3 linked regions of the Oreochromis niloticus genome follow. The protein of the gene in region 3 interacts with the protein of the main gene of each other region in a pairwise test. Links are inferred from orthologs where the notes say so. Each region holds a gene or a part of one and is shown on either strand. Other genes may lie near its edges.

The links. The genes of interacting proteins can lie anywhere in the genome.
Region 1: the proteins of pias4a (region 3) and smad7 interact in a two-hybrid assay, tested with the Homo sapiens proteins (2 studies listed by BioGRID and IntAct). The link is inferred for Oreochromis niloticus from reciprocal best matches to the Homo sapiens genes PIAS4 and SMAD7.
Region 2: the proteins of pias4a (region 3) and smad1 interact in a two-hybrid assay, tested with the Homo sapiens proteins (2 studies listed by BioGRID and IntAct). The link is inferred for Oreochromis niloticus from reciprocal best matches to the Homo sapiens genes PIAS4 and SMAD1.

What each region holds. Positions count from the first base shown.
Region 1 is NC_031972.2:18,262,968-18,270,830, reverse strand, and holds the start of smad7 (mothers against decapentaplegic homolog 7), read right to left. Parts: upstream 3,368-7,863; 5' UTR 2,248-3,367; coding exon 1,782-2,247; intron 944-1,781; coding exon 890-943; intron 1-889. UniProt on the Homo sapiens protein: Antagonist of signaling by TGF-beta (transforming growth factor) type 1 receptor superfamily members; has been shown to inhibit TGF-beta (Transforming growth factor) and activin signaling by associating with their receptors thus preventing SMAD2 access.
Region 2 is NC_031971.2:16,424,659-16,432,098, forward strand, and holds the start of smad1 (mothers against decapentaplegic homolog 1), read right to left. Parts: upstream 3,368-7,440; 5' UTR 3,198-3,367; intron 1-3,197. UniProt on the Homo sapiens protein: Transcriptional modulator that plays a role in various cellular processes, including embryonic development, cell differentiation, and tissue homeostasis.
Region 3 is NC_031986.2:34,312,156-34,319,804, forward strand, and holds the start of pias4a (E3 SUMO-protein ligase PIAS4-A), read right to left. Parts: upstream 3,147-7,649; 5' UTR 3,052-3,146; coding exon 3,025-3,051; intron 1,310-3,024; coding exon 928-1,309; intron 799-927; coding exon 714-798; intron 614-713; coding exon 572-613; intron 389-571; coding exon 298-388; intron 1-297.

The sequences.
Region 1 (7,863 bases), on a different chromosome or scaffold from region 3:
TGGCTGGCTGGTCGCCTAACTGGTCATTGTTTAACTCCTGCAGTTGTAGACAGCAAGATGATGAGCAAACGAGCAAAAAAACAACACAAAACACAGAGGACAGGATGGGAAATTATGTAGATCTCACACTATTCTAGCTACAGTGTGAAGTTTAACACACTGAAAACTGACTTCGCCTTGTTTGACATAACTTGATGCCACTTTCCTGCACAGAGGAAGAGAATGACAGCAGGAGCGATGTGTGGACTGAAGTGCACAACTAACACTGTTGCAACAGCTACGCTTTAGATGTGGAAGAAATTACAACAAAGCCTCTCTTCTGTTCTGTAAGACATCAAACCGGGAAATGGGGACAGTGACACCCCCAGCTATACACACACAGACACACACTAGAGACACACAAGCCCTCACCCTCATTCTGTTGATTAATTCAGCTGATAAAGACTGGCTGGCTCCAGAGACGCCGCTGTCTGTCTGTTTCTCCCTGTGCTGCGATTCACAATAGATAGACGAACACACAAACAAACTCCCTCCCCCCCTTTAGCCACACACACACACACACACACACACACACACACAGGCTGCCCCCGGTGATGTGCCAGTCAGTCAGTCTATAGCTGGTGTCTCAACTTTGTACTGCCTTGCCCTGGCTGTCAGCCATGCTGGAAATGGCTAGCCAGTCAGCCAGGCGTGCCACTCCACTGCTATCATAAATCACAACATAACATGGAGCCATTTCCTACACACACACACACGCACTGGAGAGGCACAGACAACACAAACATTCATAAATGCAATATAGCCTTTTAGATGGAAATGTTATGCAAAAACAAATGCGCTTCTGGCAATAACATGAATGCATGTATTTATGCATGAACAGCAAGCTCACCTGGTGGTTTAAGATAGTCCATGGGATAGCGGGAATATGGTGGAGGAGGAGACTCTGTATGGAGAAAAAAAATGAGTACATGAGGAAAAAAAAGGGGGAAAACAAGGGAGAGATCGAAACTTTATGATAAGATTTGTCATTTTTCAGGGGAAAAAGATTTGTGTCTGTCAGCTCCGCCTGGAGAGGCAGGCTGAGAGGCCGGCTGGGCGGCTATTGCCTTTCATTGGCAGGCAGATAAACAGGGGGGGGCCGCCTGGCGCCAGAAGGGCCACTATCAGCGTCTAGGACAAACTGAGATACGGGCCTCTTTTGGCCCGGGACGCCAAGCAAACGCGCGCACTCAGGCGAGCGAGCGAGCGCGTGCACGCACATACACACAGAGACCCTGGAAAAACTTCACTGTGGAAAGACTGGAAGACTGTAAAGCCCTGTGCACTTTGGAAATGCCATCTATGAAAGGTTTAAATAGCAGAAAGGCTTTGTTGTTGTTTGGAAAGCGCATATTTGAAGTGCCAAAAAAACATAAAATAAAGCATGTTTGGATACACGTTACCGTTTTTACAACACGGCCAATCAATCAATTATTATTTTAGTCAAATGACATGCCAAACTCGGATTTAATGACGCCACACTTCCGAAAAGATGGGAAGGTGGAGGGGGGTTTGGGGGGTGGGGGGTCTCAGCACGCTAGTTTGACCTTATGGAAACTCAACACAACTGTGCCAACAGAAGTGATGTCATTTGAATTAGGCTAATTAGCTCTTTAGGTAATTGAACTTGAACTTGCTCTGAAATAAGGCCAGAGAATGCCAGAGAATTCAAAATACTTGCTGCCAATAAACAGATAAATAAATAAATAGATAATGTCTATTTTCATAAAAATCCAACTCACCGAGTTCACAGAGCCTGCTCATGTGGTGGGGATTGCAGCAAATGAGCTCTGGGTTGATTTTCCCGTAGGATTCACAGCAAGACAGCCTCTTCAACTCCGAGGAATGCCTGAGGTCCGGCCACCTGAACACTTTGTAGAGCAGCATGGGGAGAGAGTAAGACTGTTGACCCACTTTGGCGTCCACTTTGCTGGGCAGGAGCAAACAGGGGCTGCGGGCACCCCCTTTGGACTCCACTGCCTGCAAAAGCACCTCCAATTGTTTCTCTTTGATCTTTTTCAGTATCGAGTGGGTCAACGCCTTCAATTCAGCCTCCGACCCTGCGTTGGACTTGGCCACCTTTGTCGTTTTGCCCAAGCAGCAGCCCCCGGAGCCATGCGTCCCTCTATCCGTTTCCCCGTCGCCCTCCACGGGCGCACGGCTCCTCCAGAGTCGCCGGACGAGCCCCGATCGTTTGGTCCTAAACATGCGGGACGAAAAGAGGGTTTCCCGGCTAAAAAACGAGCATTGTGTCCGCAAATCATGAAGATTCCGGGATCCGAGTCCAGGCGGTGATAAGCAGCCTGAGAAAAGACGGTGGAAAAACTGGGGTCTGGACAAGCAGAGGAAATCTGTAGCATACGCCAGTCTCTTTCGCCGTCTCCTGCACCCCAGATCACCAAAAAGAAAGAAAAAAGCAGGCAGGGTTCACGGGACAGTTAACTTTTCCTCCGGGGATAAGTCACCATCACCATCGGGAATTTAAGACTTGTGTCTGATGACGAAAACCTAGCAGAATGTGATCGTTAATAGCGAATGGGGGAGCAACCCTGCTGCGCGGAGCCTAGATGTGTTACAATTTTCACTTGGTGATGTGCAACCCAGAGCAGTGAGCTGACCCCTTAAAAATACTCCAGGCAGATTTTTCAGCAAATAAACACTGCTTTTAAAAAAAGAAAAGCAAAGAAAAAGAACGAAAAAAAGCTTTCTGCCAGTGCGCAGTAGCTTTAATGGAAATTACAGAACGTGGGGCCTAATTAAGCCTAAAATGCTATGGCAATTATCCCATGAAAACCGAAGCTCGCTGCCGTGTCTTCAGGAGCATTAATCCACAAAAATCCGTGATCCAAACTGCACAGAGTGCGGTTCTCCACCGGGCATGCGGAGGCTTTTTTTTATTTATTTATTTGTTTATCCGCTATCGTCCAAATATGCCAATCGTCTGCAGAGGATGTGGTCTGCCCGAGTTGAGATGAGCCAAGGAGCAAAAATCCAGGTCTGAATCTCTCACCCAAGTTGAGTTGCGTTTCTAAAGCCCGGAGAGAGAGAGAGAGAGAGAGAGAGAGAGAGAACACTCGTCCAGCCGCCGAGCCTTTCGACCTGTTTCAGCACACAGGCGAACCTTTTTCTTTTTCTTGTCTGAGCGTTAAAATAATCCCAAGCTCGTATCTCACGCGAAGTTTCCGTGGAAGAGAGAGCGAGCCGCCGACTGCGATCTCGAGGGGGAGTATGAGGCTCTCTGTAAATGAGGCGGATGGTTTGGGTGCCCTTGCTCCGTCTCCAGTCTCCAGTGCGCATTGACGCGCCCGGTCACGTGTGTGTCTAGACACCCTGTCGCTTAAAAGAAATGTGATTGTGTGTTGCGCAAACAACAGATCAAGCAGAGCCTGCGGCGCACACACACACACACACACACACACACACACACACACGAAAACCTTTGAAAGGAGGAAAGTTTGGGGGCAAAAAGTTGCCAGAAGGGTAAAGTTGAAAATAAAAGGGCAGTTGAGAAACTGTGAGATGATATAAAGTCTTACAAGAAATTTCTCTCGTCACTGTTTAATGCTGAATAATTGGCAGAGCGATAATGACGTAAATTTGGCCCCTTTGTGTCATATAAAAGTTTTTTCTAAGTTTACTTGATGATTGTAAACTCAAATGTTCTTTTCAAGCTCCAACAACGTCTAATAGCTCTGTTATCTCAGCTTTACTAACACTGGCTTCGTATTAAAGCAGCTCTGTTGCTGATGTGTGAGTGTGTGTCATTTAAGCTAGAAACACTCTGATTTCCACCTTTTTTCTCGTAATATAACATTTGCGCATTTGTCATCATGATTACTCAGGATGGTTTGGCTTGGGAGGGGGCTGCGTAGGATGGTCTCAAGGGCGACACTTCAACCACTCACCGGATATGTCGGGTCGTAGATGAAGCTGGTTCAGATTAGGGATTTTTTTAACGTATAAAAAATGTGCCTGCAAGACTTAACACAGGGAGGGAGAGAGAGAGCGAGAGAGCGAGAGCGGCCACTGTGTCCCAAAGCCAGACGGGAGCGCGCTGCTGCCGCCCTCTGGACGTTTGGTTTCCAGGTGGGACGAGCATCACCAGTTTTCTGCCTTTTAATCATCAACACGGCGGTTTCCACCCTCTTTTATTCATCCAGCGCTCTTGCCCATCACTTTCCCGACTTGCCTGACAACAGATGGGATGTGCCCACATGACTGCTGTCTTTATTATCGGCCGAATCCATATTTATTATGACAGGCGCAGCGGTTTGATTCTTACCGTTTCGATCTGTTTTGCCGTATTGTGTGTCGCTGAAGAGGCAAAACACAAACAACGTCATTTAAGTGTGACAGCTTATTTCTCTATATGGGCACACATAAATGATCTGTTCTCTCAATAAACTCATTTTTATTCAAATAAATAAATAAATGATTCACACTTTGAACCCAAAGTGTCCGAGGCCCTCAGATAGGATCTCCTAGCATCTACCAAACCCTTTGCAACGTGCGCATGAATAATATGCGTGTGTCTGTGTTTGTGTGTGTGTTACCTACATGGCTTCATGGGTTTACCTCCACAGACACAAGTCCAGAGGAGGAGGTGACAGGGGTGCTCCGGGGGCAGATGGGATGGGTGTCTGATAATGATGATTGCAGAGATGTGCGGGGCTGGGTAGGGGGGTGGGGGCAGAGGTGTGCATGGGGGTCGACGGATGGGGGTCGGGCTACCCGCATTGTCCCAGGATCACCCACTGGCGCCGAGCAGGAGGAGACTCAACAGCCCAAACAACGCAGGGGACTGCGCCTCTTTTTTTTTCTTTTTTTGAAGAAGTCTGGAAGCAATCAGTCAGGGGAAAGGGTCTGTCAGAGGTATTGTGGAAGTCGCTGCAGACGCACGCTGTCCCCTCCCCTCTCCCCCTCTCTCCCTCTCCACTTCTCCCTGCCCTTCCTTTTGTGTGTGTGACTGACTATTCCCCAGACTCCAGGAAGTAGCCAATTTTATCTAACCAGTTTCCATTTCAGTCTGGCGAGGAATGTCTGCAATAAGGTGCAGGACTAGGACTCATTAATATATATATTTTTTCCTCCCTGCCTGATAACGTTTTCATGTATTTTTAAACCACACCTGATAATAACTGAAGTAAATACTGAATGGTGCATTCACATGCTTGGTGGAGTCCTGTAATTTGGTGTTGCGAACACTATATTTGTGGAACCTGTCCCCCACACCTCTCCAAACTAACACGTCAAGGTCTTTTATTGGATTTTTGACAGTATGACAGTACAGCCATTAAAACGACATGCACTCACTGGACTCTGTACATATCGATAGAACCACTTTGGACTTCTTTTTGCTTTCAGAACTGTTTTAATTCTTCGTACAACAGATTCAACAAGATGCTGGCAATATTCCTCTGGGAGCTTGGTTAATACTGACATAATAGCATCACACAGTTGCTGCAGACTTGTTGGCTGCACATCCACAATGTGAATCTCCCATGCCACCACATCCCAAGGCTGCTCTATCGGATTGAGATCTGGTGTTTGTGGAGGCCATCTGAGTACAGTGAACTCACTGACATGTTCAACAAACCAGTGTAAGGTGATTTGTACAGTGAGTCCATGAGAACTGTAGCCTCAGTTTCCTGTTCTTGGTCTACAGGAGTGGCAGCTGGTGTGGTCTTCTGCTGCTGTAACCCATCTGCTTCAAAATTTGAAGCTCTAGCTTTTAGCGCAGCAGTCCCATCCACCTGGTGCTTAAACCCTTTGTTTGCAAGGGGCAGCCAATCAGAAGAAAGCTGGCTAAAAGAGAAAGGAATTGCTCATTTCAGAAAGTGGATGACCCAAGGGGGCTGTACCATCATCCAGTATAAAATGAATTATTACTCTGAACTGTGCAAAAGCTACTCCAGCAGGGTCCAAAAATAAAAATGGAGCTGGAAGTGCTTTCTGGTTGACAACTGGAGTGTGGTTCTAATGTTCTCACATCCTAAGGCTACATACAGCAGGCTTAGTTTCATGTTTCCCCGCCTGTTCACAGTCTTTGTGCTGAGCTAGCTTCCAGCTTCAGCCTTATGTATTCATAAGGCATATATACAGCAGTCTTGCTCATCTAAGTCTCAACAAAAAGTGAATAAATGTATTTCTAAAAGCTGCTGAGCTGTTGCTTTAAGAGCCTTGTTAAGCTCAATCAAGTGACCCTGCAGAGGTGATTCAAATGAGGGCGTGCAGTTGGCTAAAACAGCATTACACAGCAAGAGGGATGATTAATATTCTAGACAGCAGCCCAAGCCTTTACTATAATTTATTGACACAGTGACTGGTTTCAGACGAGTGGGGGTCACACATATGCAATTAAACAGGCTTATTATGTGTGAATGAGAATGTTAAGAATAGGGTGAAGACTGCATGCAGGCAGGCAGCCAGTCACTGGGGAGATAAGAATGATAGAAATAAGGCAACTTTAATTAAATAGATAAGAGAAAACTTTAAAAATTCACAACTTGCACATCCGATGTCACAACAGGAAGGATGGAAAACACCCACACTGGTAAATGACGCAGCCTGTTTAAAAAAAAAATAAACAAATCATGCTGTGAAAAAGCATAAAAAAGGAGGAAAAAAACCTATTCATCGTGTGTTGAGAAAAATGTACAATTATCAGCATCTCCAGTGGGGTTTGCTCTATAATGAATGAGAGAAAGCTTCAGTCTTGTGCTCAGACATGCGGTATGACCCACATTTTATCCCAGAATGCTAATGTTAGCTACAGACCTACCAACCTGCCCCAGACTCCTTTTAGCCAACTGAATGTTCAAAGAGTGAGTTACTCTCCTACGCTAAAAATGTCAAAGTCTAATGCAACAGCCTGGCGATAAATTTTACCTTCATGAAGGTCGTGATCTTCAGTTTTAGCTGAAATGATTAAGAAAAGTATTACTCCAAATATTGATAATATCGATACCAGCGCTGGTATCAGTATCGGATCGATACTAGCACGATAGGATCGATACTTTCTATCCTCAAAATTCTGTATGTAGCCCACTGAATAGTGTTAAATAAATTCTTATTCTTTTGGAAATGAAAAAAAATATAACACAAACATGAACTATGAAAAATGTACCTTTTTGTCGCCTGCCAGGTCTAGTAGATTTACAGCCTATATTTAAACAACAGAAGCTGACAAAGCGCTTTAGAGACTAGAGATTTTAATTCTTGATCTACAAAACATTTAGTTTCAAAATACATGAAAGTATGAAAGTGTGTTTTATTATAAAATGTGGAATGTAAACATCAAATCGTGTAGTGTTCGAGTGTTCATGTGTGTTCAGAATTTGCAAATCAATAATGATTCATCTCAAAAATCATGACACACTGCTCTCCCCTATATAAGCTAACTTTATAGGTTAAAAGTGTTGGTATCAGTATTGGTAATTCTGGCCCTGTATTTACTTGGTATAGGATAAACTGCTAAGTTAATGCTGGGTAAAACCTGAGGACTGGGGTGTAAGTTCAGAACTTCATCTTTAGCCGACAGTTGCTCAGTATGTAGCTCGTGCCCTGCAGCCAGTGGTCAGTCAATACAAAGAAACCCCTCAATTCAATATTAATAACTTTTAATCAATCCAGACTTTTAAGTTGGATCAAAGTGAGCCTGACACGTTGAGATGCAACAATGTTATTTTACACCCAATTACACGTGCAAAGTGCACTGAAGCTCAAAGAGTTATTATAGATGTTATATAAGATTCAAGTTTTCATATGAGAAGCATTTTGTCTTGTCCAAGGGGCTTTTGTCTTTTCAGTATGAGATGAACTAAT
Region 2 (7,440 bases), on a different chromosome or scaffold from region 3:
TAGCCCCATGGATCATTTTGCACTGCTCCAGTGTCTGTTAATCAATTTAGGCCTGGGCTGTGTAGGATGAGCAGGCAGTAATGATGCTCTCTGGACCCTCCCTGGGGATGGAGCATTATAAAGAAGCTACATTATTTATCAGCAGGGTCCTGGATAGGGCCTCCATTAACCCCCGCTCAATGGAGTCACTGGCTATAAACCGTGGAGTGCAGGAAAGAAGAGAGTGATAGATAAAGCGAGAGGAAGAAAGGAGGAATGATGCAGAGACAGAAGGAAAAAAGTAAGTGAGAGTGATGGTGATGCCTGAGATCTAAGACAGGCTGAGTGTTTGGGAGGAAGAGATATGGAGAACGCTCACATATCTGGTCTCTTCAGCTAGTACTTCAACATCAAGAGCCTTCAAGGGGCATTACTGTGTGAATCATGACACTACAAGGATGCACTACAGGCTACTTTACGAATACCATTTCTAACAACGAGGCTAGGATATAATTTTTTTTTTTTTTTTAAATGAGTCAACAAATTGCTTTTAAAACAGGAGACCAGCTGTCATTTTTAACATCCTTTTGAGAAATTAACATTAGTACTAAGAAAAATTAGTACTAATGTACTTAGTACTTAGAAGTACTTGTCATTTAAATCATGCCATTTAAAAAAACGAAAAGAAAAGAAAAAGCCAAAAGATCTCTGGTTCCAGTTTCTTAGCCAGATGTCCTACATTTATCAGTTTCATATTATTGCAAGCTAAATATCTTTGGACTGTGGGCCAACCAAAAAAAGCTGCCAATTTTAGCCATTTTATGCAAAAAATAAATAAATAAATAAATACAGAGAAGGACATTTTACATGAAAAATATATATATAATTAACCTGTCAAGTTTTCCTTGTTGTACAGTCTTACAAAAGCAGCATGTCTTTGCATAATTGCATTCTGCACCTTCTTGATATTTGCTGGCTAACATAAAGTAACATATCTGCTGTAATATAATATTAGTTCACTTTTCCAGGCTCCCTAATAACTACTTCAGTTGGTTGCAAACAGCATTAGCTAGTGATGCACAATTAATCAAATTTTAATTACAATTTTGGCTTCTAACTATATTTAAAACAAGACAGTTATTGTGCTGCACTCACAATTTGGCTTTCAGCCCCACCTACAATACTTTTGTCATTCCATAAAACTCCAGATTTTCTCCCTGAAAGACTGATTCAAAGAGTCAAGGATATTCACCATTCAAATAGCATGATTTTAAGTTCAATGAAGCCACTATGGCAATCGTGAGAAATGACTTTTGTCATAAATGAGCAGCCCTAGAATTAACGCCGAACAGCTAGACCTAGACACTACAGTCTAAGAGCAAAACCTGAAGTAATCACAGTCATGGCATTGACCTGACGGGCTCCTACAAGTCACATCCACTGCTCAGCATCCTTCCAATGCTGATATGGAAAACACTAGAAACCTGCACAAGAAGTGTCAGGATGGTTCAGACTCTGATGAAGTTGAACTGGGATCAGATTCTTTGCGTCCCAGACATGTCAATCTACCACAGCAGACATAACTATCAAACACATGGGTTTTCATGGTGCTATGTCAAACATGCTCGTAACTCAGCGTTGGGTTTGTGTTGTGTTAGGGTGGACACTTCACTCCAACACATAGCAGACATGTTATCCAACCATACAGTGACACAGGGACACAAGACTTAAATCTGTCATGTTTCTTCTTCTATTTATCCTACAACAACAGTGCTTGTCTAAAACTGTCAACTAAAGAGTTTATTTTGGTTTAAGTCTCTCTCATAAAGGAAAACCTGCAACGTATGGAGACCTTGCAGTTTACTAGTTATCAGCAGCTGTTACAGTGGATGGAAAATATCATGCTTTGTGTTCACCGACGCAGATATCAAGCTCATAAAAGCCTCTGATAATGACAGTCACAGTCAAGAGGCTTCATGCTCATTTTTAAGCTGGAAAAAAAGCTGTCGTAAATACAACTTAAAGCACAACATACTGAGAATGCAATCACAGACAAGGACAAATTCCTGTCCTTTGAGTAATCTGATATGTCATCTTCAATAATGTCAAGAGAGCTAGCTCTAGTTGTTGTAGGTCTCTGCCTCCCTCTGCAATCTTCCCTCACATGCACTCTCACACAGGCAGAAATTCGTAAACACATGGGGACACATGTCCTCTGAAGTGCATCAGCTGAACAGCCACGTTAAGTCTTTATACATCAATAAACACTACAACAATATACTTTCTTAAAGCTTAAAATGGCAAGGTGTAATACGTGTTTACTGATTACAGAGTGATATATGGTTTAGTGGCATCCAAATATGATACATTTCGAAATGTGTAACGCTTCAAATCAAGAGATTTAGCTAATTAATTAGGTGATCATGAGAAACTTAATGAGCAGTCTTGATAATTGTTTATCAAGCATTTTCAGTCATTTATCACGGGGAAAGAAAACTTGCTAAATCCTCAATTTCTTGTTTCTCAAAAGGAGAAGCTTGGCTGTTTTTCTGTTCAATGTCACCGTAAACTAATTTCTACACAGAACAAGATGAAACCCTCGGGCGACTGGTGGCCATTTCTTCCACTTTTTTTAATGTTACAGACTAAACAGCTAGTTGATGAAGCAAGATAACAACATATGACACAGAAAGACCACCCATTTATCCGCATAATGCATGCACCCCCCCCCAAAAAAAGCAAAGCAAAAAAAAAAAAGAAGAAAAGCGGTAGTTTATAAATAGCACAATAATCATCATTCCCAGCTGAAAATGGATTACATGGTTAAATACGGAAAAGCTCGTCCCGGTGAACCCTTTACGGTGATTTAAGGGTAATTAAAGGGAGTTTAGCTTTAAGACGAAAAGCTTCGCTTCTACAACATTTTTGGGAAACCTTTGCTGCTAAATTCCCTAAGTTACCCACTTTTTTCCCGCTTTTGTAAAAAAAAATTGGTACAAGACACAACTTTGCGGCTAAATTTCCACTGCTGTCTGATAACTTGTGCGCAAAAAGAGGAAAAAAAGTTTGAAGCTGCCAACTGACAGTGATGTGCGGATAACTGCTGGGATCTACTTCCTTAAAAAAACAGAGTCGAGCACACTGTGGCTACCGAAATAAAAACAGTTAAAGGCAGTTTTCATTTATAATTCTGTGAAAAAAGAAAAACTTTACCGCACCTTTTCTTCCTCTGTAGCTTTCTGTTTCTCGGCGTCGCTGGCTCCTCCTGTGTGCTCTCGCCGCCTGACTGTGGGTCTGCTCGGCCTGGCGTCAGTGAGTCGCGGAGCCGTCTCACACTCTCCCGAGCGCCAGTATCACACCGCCGCGAGATGCGGCCCCACCGGCAAGAGGCAGACCTACTTTTTGCACATCTAACATCTTCATCGAGAGCGTGGAAGTGGATTATGTAATAGCGAAACGGTACGGTTTTAGTGCAAAGGTGTGGGGTTTCTTTAGTGCAAAACGTGTCTGTTAAGATAGGTGAAATGTCGGGGTTTTTGGGGAGACAGGGGAAAAGAGGCTCTAAATAATAAGTCTAAGTAATAAGTCTTTAATCTTTACCACTCTGTTGTCTCCCCCAATACAACAGACATCAATCGGGAGTAAATGAGGAAATATTTTGAAAAAGCTCGCTTTTATCTAAAGCAGTAATATTTCCGAGAGGCTGTTTTTAAGTGACACATCTCTGTGGTTTATCTGTGAACTCCTGAACTTAAAGCCTACCTCTCGGTTTCCCGTCTCGCTTTGACTGTGACATGATAAGCACAGTTCAGCCAGAAGAACAAAAGTGTCCCACGAGCACAGTCAGCACAGGAACATGCTCATACATGCCACCATCCCCACCTCCTCAGACACTGATGCACGCTTTTTTGGGTCCCAGTGAGTACTGCACGATGACACGTGAAAACACAGCCTTCCTGCAGGACAGCAGCTGCAGAGGACATGAAAGTTTCTTGCACACCAATGAGCCCAATCTGTCCATACTTGTGCATGTGCCGCAGACTCTGAATTGACCATGAGGCCCAAGGGGAAGTAACCCATTATCTGATCAGATGTGAATAAGTCACAAAAGCGACAAAAGCGCGATAACTTATCTGAATGATAAGTAAACTTTAAACAGTCTTTTTTAAACAGTCAGAGCTTGTAGATGTTATTAGAGATCCTCGAAAAAATGAGATATAAGTTCAAAAACGCCACAAAGTGTCCAAAGGGTGACCACAGGCTTATCAGTGTAATAATTTGCTCAAACACACAATGATGACTTAAATATACTTTAACACTGGCAAAAAAAACACGGGCTTCGATCGTTATTGTTTTTTGTTGTTTTTTTCATTATATTTAAAAAAGTGTAGTAACATCTCTTTCTGTATTTGCCAGTTCATTAATCAAGTTCAGGGTCGCTGCGGTGAGGAGGGAGGGGGACTAGATTCTCTTGAAGACAGGCGGAGGGAAACGTTCAGAGCGGAGGAGGCTTCTGGCGCAGGTGACGTCACGGCGCTGGCGACAGAATGTCTGAGCGAGGCGGGAGCGAGCCGCACGTGAATAAATCTGGGAAAACAGTGCGAGCGGGGAGGGTGGGTGGAGGTGGGGGGTGTAAGGGAGGGAGGAAGGGATGGCGATGATGATCATGATGATGATAATGAGAAGGGATAGGAGGAAGGGTCCCCAAAACTTTTTTTTGCTAGAGGATTCCCCTCACACACACGCACACACAGGGCAGCAGCACATTCATTAGACCCCATACATTTATAGTCCTATTAGGGAGAAAAGCCTACTGAGCTTTTACAGACTCATCGAGTTTTATCTCATTAGAACAGCAAAGTTTAACCTCTAATATTCCAATTAAGGTAATTTAACTTTTATATTCGCACATCACACTTTCAGATTTTGACACTGCTGCTTCCTAGTGCTCTGCTCTCTGGTGTAAAGCAGGCCCTGAACCTAAGTACCTTGCTTCATAATATTTCTGAGAGTGGAAACAAAAAGTGGAAACAATTCCACTTTGTTACACATGACAGCTCAGCTCATAAAATATTAGTCATTGTTGCAAGCTTCCCAGACAGCTTAATGTGGTCAAATGGATCTCCACCTCGACAAGTGACCTTAACAAAAAGAAACAAATGAACAATGTAAAGAACACATTGGAATATTGTTTTTTAAATGCAGTTTACGGGTTTTATGCTCTATTATAGACAACTCCAGTACTCCAGAGCTACAAAACTGCCAGCTAGGACAGGGTTAAGCAACATCTGCCTATATTTTGCTTTATATTTTTTTACCATTGCAGAAGTTAGAATATTTTAAAGCCTTTTCAACACTGATAGGAGTATAATCTTCTTTGTCACTGGCCTGTGATCTAAAAACACCCACATGCCCCCCCCCCCCCCCCCCCCCCAATGCTTTCCAGCCCCCATGCCCCAGAATCATATTGGGGAACCACTGGATGCAACGGTGAAAAAAAAAGATGTTACAGATGCTCAAAAGATTTGCTGGCAAATTTGATTATTTGACAGACGAGTATCGGCCATCTTCTTTTTTATACAGCAAAATGCAAATACTTGCATTTCTGGAGCAGTGGCTAACATGAAGCAAATTACATTTCAGGTCATACAAATTCACTCATGCAGTCGCTGGAAATGAGATTATGTGAGCAATAAAAATAAAAATCAATTACCGTTGCTTATTTACCTTGCTTATGTGCTTATTATTGTATCAGTGGCAAGGAAACTACCCAAATGTTTATACAGAGGGTTCCTCATCATTGTAATGATGACAGTAGATACTGTAATGGCTGCAACTCACTTTGCTTTTTCTTTTTATGTGAGACGTACAGTGCTCATGCATATTCTGATCAGAGCGGTTTCCTGTCCTTACACTGGCTCTGTAGTGGCAAGGACTCAGCGTGGATTAAATTAGACGATATCTATTGTGGAGCCATCACACAGCAGGACACCAACCGCGGATGGAGACGAGGAAAGAGCGACAGAGAGGTCAGCTCTTTCCCAGTTCTCTTGATTGTCATGCATGTGAATTCAGCCTTAGGTCTGCTGTATTTGCATGGATAAACACACCATGAATCTAAATCCACCACCAGATATGGAGGAGATATATATGTTCATGAAAACCACGTGAATGCTCTTGCTTCAGTTTAGCTGTGTTTAAAATGCATCTGAAAACATCAAACAGACTTTGATCTCTGTTCACGGCAGTTTGGAGACATGAAGTGGCCACTTCACGGATAACAAACCAACCTTTTGTTGTGGTATAATGGACCTGCCAGTCTCCACTGGTAGTGTTCAAGAGGCACAAAGGTGATAAGAGTTTGTAAATCAGGTTGTCTTTTGTTCTAACTGACTCTGAGAAGGAGAATTTTACCTACTGTGAGCTCTTTTGAGGTCAGACACCTTAGATGGAGAAAATAAATATGGATGAATAAGAATAGGATGCTGGCAGATAAATGCAAAGAGCAACTTTCATTGAAGTACTTCTTTGTCATTTATCTCCAAGTCTGTTATGCTGATATACAGCATATGGTTTACTTATTAACCTAAATAAACTTGTTGGCATTATGAGAAAGGGTCTGCCGCCTAGTGAAATGACTGTGCTGCATGTGATTGTTTAGATAAGGAGATTTAGCTCGTTAAAATCTACAGTACTGTACAAAAATGTCGAGCAACCGCTTATTTCTTTATATTTTACCGTGAAAATGGAAAACATAGATGAAAATACAGTATAACAATGTATATAAGGGGGAAAAAAACCCTTTAACTTGACTTAAAAATGTCAAGTTTGGTTTGGCCAGCTTTATTTTTAAATGTACCCGGAACTCTTTTAGACAAGCTCTGTTCTGTTGTTCTGTTCACTGTCAGGATGATCCCACAATGCTTCAATAATGTTCAGGTCCAGGCTCCGGGGAGGCCAATCCATGATTGAGAGCGTGACATTATGTGTTTTTCTATCGAGATATGCTTTTGCTTAACTGACAGTGGGGTTGGAATCACTTTCATGCTGAAAAGTGACACTATTATCAGCCAGCTAGTTTTAAGATGGCGCTGAATGTCTAACAGTACTTTTATATGTTCATATTTGCATAATGTTGATAAGATCCCCAACACCACTGGCTGACATGCAGACCCAAACCACAACATAGCCTCCATTGTGGTTTATAGATGCCTTTAGAAACTCATGGTTGTACTTGCTCCTGACCTCCTCTGTTCATGCATGCAAAACTTCACATTTGGATTCCTCACTCCATGAGACCTGTTGCCACTGATTTTCAGTCATATTCTTGTGTAACTTGGCATACCTCAGCCTTTTCTTCTTGTTTCCCTTGCATAAGAATGGCTTCTTGACAGCCACCCTTGCGTCAACTGAAAAATTCTTAAAATTCTGCTTATTGGAAGCAAAACGTATGAATGGTGG
Region 3 (7,649 bases):
TGTTTCCTGAGGTCTTCAGATAAGCCAACACCATCTTTAACCAAATCTTATTTTTCCCCTTTATGTTGTTCAAGACACACTTACATTAGGTTATATTATCCATCACTGTCATATTACGACATTTTATCACTGACCTGGTAAAACATCTGTGACTGACACCCAGAGACACCCTGACTGTATCTGAAAACGATGCTATGAGCTATGATTGAGAACACACTTCAAAACAGGAAAACAAGCCCAGCTTAAGTCATGTCTGTATTATGAAGGTGTGGGACATTTCAGAGTTAATCAACTCACCGGCACATGACAGTAGGACTGATTAACTTTGACAGCTATGTTGGGAGGATACTGGTCCTCCTGAACACCAATGGAGTCTGTGTAACAGATTCTGCAACAGAGAGCAGTAACAGAGGAATAAATGAGTGAGGTCTTCTATTTTAAGAGACTAAACACAAACACTGTATATACAAAGAAGCAATTTGTCCTCGTTTGTTTGAATGATGATAGTTTTATGACACAGTCACTACCAAAAAAGTCCCCCCCCCCCACCAATGTTTTACTGGAAACTTACCTAAGAACCACTTGGATTGATCGGATTCCTGGACGAAGTTCACTAAGAAAATAATAGGTCACAGATTAAAATGAGCTTCACAGGTTATATTAACCTGGGGTTAACCTAAAGTGCAGTTTTAACAGACAATGTGACTTTTTACCTTGCATTTCGAATCTGGTCTGCTTGGCTGGGTGTTAACTCAAAGATGCACTGACTGTCCTGGAGTTTCTCACTGTTCTGGGCAACTGTAAGGAGATGGAGACAAAATCCATTGTAAAAAGAGAACAGTGCAAATTCTCATCGTTGAGTAAAAATGCAACATTTCCCAAAAACACAAACAGACACAAAAAGCCTAACAAATAGTCCACACTCACTTAGCTCTGTTGGTGGTAGCAGTGTCTCTAAAGTTTGGTAGAAGGGCAGTGGCACTAGCTTCACCTCTGCTGCAGGTGTGGTGATCGGTTTGGAAATGCCGTTGAGGTAGTCTGCGCCCTGAGAGGTGGCAGTAGGGGAAGAGCTGAGGGATGAGTAGTTAACTGGGACACTTTCCGGACGCCGTGCAGCCAGCCAACCAGATGTTTTAGGGAAACGTGACTCGTAGAGCTGCCGGACGTTCTTCAGCAGCTCTGGACTGTATTCGGTCTGCACTAGCCTCAACGCACGCCCCACCAAGTCTTGCTTCAGCCCACTTTTGCTGCGACCCATTGAGGCCAGCAGCGTCTGCAGGTCTGAGACCCGGAAACTTTTGACCATATTCTAGTGAGAAAACAAGACGAAAAAATAAAAAAAAATATAACAGGAGGAGCACAAAAACAATTAGATTTCTGGAAAGGCAAATGAATTAAATAATTTAATATCGTGTGCAAAGTCCTGCGTAAACACACCTACACACCTCTTTTTAACCCTTGGAAGATGCACAGAGTTAATTACAGGTAACTTATATGCAGAACAGAGGAGTTCACCAAACTGCTTGGTACTTGCTAAAATTAGCATCTGTCCTTGGTCACTTTAATCCTATAGAGGCTTTAACGTGTGTTGTAATTAGCTGGCTATATTAAGAAGTTCACTTCCAACTCTGGGAACAATGGCTTGGCCATGATTCAAGTGATCACACTAATTGTGGTAGTGTTAATTAGGCTTTAGAACCATAAACTTCCAAAGGTGGCTTAAAAGTATGAATAGAACTTGGAAACACACTAATTCCATCCACACTATCTGTCATTTAACACACAGAAAGCTAAAGGAATAGTCTGGCAGGCTCAGTTACAATGAAATAGGTGCCTAAAAACTACTATTTCTTGTTAGTGGCCTAGAAATGTGCAAATAGTGCAATAGTTCTTACCTACATGAAACATATACATACAAGCCTATATGTATAAATCTGTTTACAGTCCACATCAAATGTAAGACAAATACGGCTTTGCAAATTCTGCATGTTTATGGCTCCATTAACTGTTTAATATAATTTTAATTTGCCGTTTATGGCTTAACAACCTCATTTGTACACTAATTCGAAAAATGTAAGATGAAGACACACCGTAGCAGGCGAGGATGTTTATTTAGTAAAAACATATGAGGTGCCGACACACATTGAACTGCAAAGTAAACGCAAAATCTCTTATTCTCGACATAATGTGCGCCAATTTTCTCCAGCCTTTAAACAATACTTGCATAACATGTGGAATCAATTATATGAATACCGTGTATGGTCGTATGATCCTATGTGAGGTCGTTAAAAAAAAAAAGAAAAAAGAAAGACAATTATTATTTATTTATGATGAAGTAGACAGCACGCGAACTGGGCTCTAGGGGCAAAACACGGGATGTTGTTGTTTAGCCGCCAGACAAGCCTCAGCTTTGTCTGACATGGCCGAAATAGACATTAGTGGAGAACTGCTTCATGTCTATATTAAAAACCAGGACTTTATGGATGGATCCGACTGAACCGCTGAGCTTCAAATACAGCTGCGTTACAGACTGCTCAACCTCACTTGAATGCTGCTAGTGTAGCCTGTGCTATCGCCGGGCTAGCTTCTCACACTCGGCATTCAATCACGACTGCTAGATATTTTGACAGGTGCACAGTTCATAAACTAACTGGTGAACTACAGACAGATATTCCTGTAAGCCAAATAACGTCAAAACGGTAACATGCCAGAAAGCAGGCTAGACCAAAAACAACCACACGCTTATATGGTCTCATCATTCATTTTCGGTGTCTTCCTCCAGAGCCAGCGTGATGCTAGGTGAACCAACGCACTTGCCTGGTTAACATTTCCAGGCAGGCTAGCTACCTTAGCACCATAGGCTAGTTCGTTTCGTCGTGCTTGAAATACACCACATTTGTAAGAATAAATACCCTTTAATAATATTCGCACAAAACCCACAGTTTCCCCACAACTGGGATGACTTTCAGCCCACACTCCCGCGCACGTCTCCTATCAAATCAAAGCCAACCAAGCTCTACTTGCCATCGCTTCCACCAGTTCGGCCGCCATCTTCGTGCAGCAGTACCGCGAGAGTCAGAGACGACGGCCAGTCTTGCACCAATGGAACAATGACCCTGCTTCGATAGACAGTCATCTCCAGCCAATCACAGCGCGACTTTTGCCAGCATCCGAAGCGATTCGCTGAAAATAGGCGGGACCACGTTGTTTTAAAGTTACAGCACAACTTTTAAAAAACACTAAGAGGCAGGTCTCCCTTCCAAAATAGGCCTCTGTGTCGATTAATAACACCACGTGTCAAAGTATTTTAATATTGAGACTGTTTCAATTTTATAGTTTTGCGATATTCTGAACTCGTGTCTTAAAGATAGTTTAAATTCAGCGTGACGGGAAAGCATGGGCTGTCAAGTGGATTGGGTCGCATGGTCCCTTCAATTCCCGTCCGAGCAAAATATTCCATTTCAGGTTAGGCGACCAACCGTGAGATGTGGCGTTAATGCTTTGTCTGAGGCATGTTCATAATTAAATTAAAACGACTTATTAAGAAAACACACTTACTCGTGTAGGTATAGTCCTGTAATACCTTCTATGTATCACAAATGCCAGGTTGTGTTAAGACATCAGCAAAATGGAAATATGTTTGCTGAGGGAAATGTCTGCTCCGATTGAAGATCCAGCCCTGCTTTTCCAAAACTCCTCACATGTGGGCAAAGAATAGCCTCATGGAAAAACAAAAATCAATTGAGGGAATTGCAGTATCATGTAATAACATGGCGTGTTTTGTTGTGGCTCCGTTTTGGATGGGAAACGTCAATAAAGCAGTGCTGTATTTCCAAAAGAACAGATTGCTCTGCTTCTGTGCTGACTTATAAAAAGAAGATTATCTTAATTTAAATTACAAATAAAACTTAAATGGGAAATCTGAGATTCCCTTAGTTCAGTTATTCATGAATCTGTCTCTGTTTAGTGCACCTCCCCCTCAAAACAAAGCCCATAATCTCAGCTTCATGTTTTACACAGTAAAGGCCGTTATTTTTAGAATTCTAACTCTTCATGTTTTTGTAGTTACTGAAGTATGAGGCTGAAAATAATTTAATAAAACTAATTACAACGATAACTTGAAAGGTTGCATAGAGTAGTGTTTTAATGTTGTGCATGCATGTCTTGTTCCATTACTTAAACAGAAGAGGGCAATATGGTCCATGATTTGACCTGACTGCCATTAAGTTCATCCCCTCTGTTAAACTGAAAGAACAAAGCAGATCGCCATACGGCTAATGCGTACAGGCTAAAGCTGTAAATGCTACGAGAACAGGGTGGGTTAATTATACTTAATGTTAACAAAGTTACATTGTTATCCATTCTCTGCTGAAAATACACTTTTATTTGTGTAAGATCCCAGAGATATTCAGAATAAAAAAAAAAACAACACAAAGGTTGAATAACTGTGGCACACTGGATTCAAATAAACTTTTTTAGGTACTCTTGTTCAAATGCCTGTTAATGCAAATATCACATAGACGTGGTAAAGATGAGCTGTTGAAGTCCTGAGCACCAGAATGGTGTAGAAAGGTGATTTAGGTGACTATCTCCATGATATGGGTTTCAGTATCTGATGTGTTGGATTGAGTATTTCAGAAACTGTTGATCTACTGTGATTTTCCCTCACGGCCGTCTCTAGGATTTACAGAGAATGATTTGAAAAGGAGAAAATATCCATTGAGCAGAGGTTCTGGCCAGACTGTTTGGAACTTACAGGCAAACTAAAGAAACTCAATTAACCACTCGTTACAACCGAGGCAGAAGAGCATCTCTGAACACACATGTTGACCCTTCTGTCAGCTAAGAAAATGAGACTAAAGTTTGCATGATCTCACAAAAACTGGACAAAATGACATTCTCAATTTCTGCTGCAACATTTGGATGCAAGTGTCAGAACTGGGGTGAACAATGAAAGCATGGATCCATCCTGCTTTGTATTATTGGTTCAGACTGCTGTCAGTGGTGTCATGGTGTGGGGGATATTTACTTGGCACATTTTGGGGTCCTTAGTAGCAACTGAGTATTGTTTAAACACCACAGGTTTTGTGAGTGTTTCTCGCTGACCATGTCCATCCTTTTTTATGACCACAGTGTACCGCAGTGTCTTCCAGCAGGACAACGCATGACATCACAAAGTTAAAATGATCTCAGACGACTTTGTTGAACACGAGAGTGATCTCACAGTACTCAATCAGCGCCCGCAGTCACCAGATCTAAGCCCAGCAGAGCATTTTCGGGATGTGGTAAAATGAAGATTCACATAATGGATGTGCAGCTGAAAATCGGTAACACTTTATAATAATATCTGCAACTAAAGGTGTAACTCCCCTGTAATTAAAAGGAATTTCAGTGTGCTTTATTTAAAATTACAACATAATTGTATTTAACAACAAATAATAGAATTAGAGGGTAACGACGCAGGATTTTGCAGGAATTAAAGAAATAATTATGCTGTGAGTAAATTTAAATAACCTGTAAGTTTTTTCAAGTACTGCATTTTAAGTAGTGTGGAATTTCATGTTAGTTTTGTGGAAAAACAAACAATATTTCTCCATCTTACGGGCCATATTATGGAGTGCTTAACCTTACCTAACTTCCATGTATTTTGCAGGAAAGGAAACACTTCTTTTCAAAGTTATGTTTGAACAGTGATTGTGAAAGAAAAAATTGAAATGCCTCCATCATTATAATGTCGAACTTTACTTCAAAATACTTATTTGTATTTATGTGAATATTTATGTGATACTTAAATTTATTTATAGTTTAATCACTTCTTTGCTTCCTGGATAAACCCAACTTTAAACCCCCTTATTTTAGTGCGCCTACCTGTAAATATAATTATATTGTATTTTAAAATAAACTATGTTGAAATATATGTTTATTAGAGGGGAATTACACCCATAAAGTTTTACTGACCAATCTGTAGCACTGTGTTGTGCAATCATGTCAGATTACTGGTGTGCCTAACAGAGTGGCTGGTGACTGTATAGCCTACCATAGACTGTAAGTCTGATACAGCTTCAGTTAAGCAGTAGAAGAAGCAGGCAGAGAGTATGCACATAATGTGGTGTTGCTTGAAGAAATCTTCCACTGATCAAAAACACACAAACAATAACTTTCTGTAACTATAAAATCAATCAACATTGCCAAAAATGTTCATTTCAGCACTTTGATGCATGATGTTTGATCTGTACATTGTAACATAAATAAATCTGATATATTTCAGCTAAATCTCCTTCTTGTTGATATTACAACATAACTACAGAAAAAGGTCTAGAAATGTTCAAACAACATGTCATAATTGATTTAAAGGAGATTTTTATTCCATAAGGATCTGAAACAAAACCTTCATTAAAAGATAAATCTTAATCAAATGTAGAAATGAATGAGTTAATGAAATAACAAATTTTCAAGTCAAGGGAAATAATTATTTGCATACAGAAAAAATAAACTATATTAGCCAGTAAAATATCCTGCACAGTTACAGAACACAATATAATACAGTTTAATAGTAACCACAGACAGTTTTTATCTTTAAGACAGATTTTAAACAAAATATATAATTATGTTAGCTGAACTACAAAAAAAATCATGTATATATGCAGTAATTTATTGTTACATATGAAAAAATAATTTTTCCACTAGCTAATAATTTAAGTAATAAAAGGCATTTGGTAACAAATTAAATAAAGGTGTTGAACGATCCAATATTAAAAGGGTTTATATCAAGAACGGAAGTGAACCTTTCTAATTTGTCATTCATACGCTTCACTTTTCTGTAACCTTGTCGCCGTCGATGGCTGCAAGAGACATTAATGGTCTTTGCAAATAAAGACGTGACTTATCTCCAACGTGCTGAAGTTGACCCATTAATTACTCCTCGATGGTAATTGAAGTAATTCTTTGGACAGTATCCTGGACAAAACGACTTTAACAGGATAACTCTGGCAACTAAAAGGCCTTTGATTCTACATCCACCTAACATCCATCCTTTGCACACCATGTCTTACTAAATCTCGAGTGTTTAATCTCCCGTAATTACAAAGATTTGCTTAGGTTAATAAAAATAATCCGCCTCAATTGAGACCCCCCACTTGGACCTCCCCTGTGCCTCCTTTGCCCCTTTCTGTGAGGGATAAAATCACAGTCATATAAATAGAGTCACCTTCACATCTTTGAAGCACAACTCTTTGATTCGGGAGCAAAAGGCTGACGGATACCAAGTGATAGGTTTGGATCGGCAGGGTTATCAAAGAATCGAAAACATTTACTGAAAATTTCTTGGCAAACGAAGCGTCCGCATTTAGTCTTGGCGACTGACGTCATTTCCACAGGTTGAGATTGGGTCACTCGTGAGCGCATCAAGGTTAACAACAGTTGAGAGGCTCATCTTTATCTGTGATCTTGTCAACAGTAAGTCTTCGGTGAAAGAATTTAGTGGCAGCGAGACGCTGGCTTTATGAAGGCTCCTAATTTTAAAGAACAATAGACATGCTGTGCAACTTAGAAACACAGTTTTGAGAAGACGTTTGGGAGAGATATTTTTTATTCATGACCTGACACCTGTTCAACAGTCAGCGTGAAATCAATAAAACCTCTGCCATGAG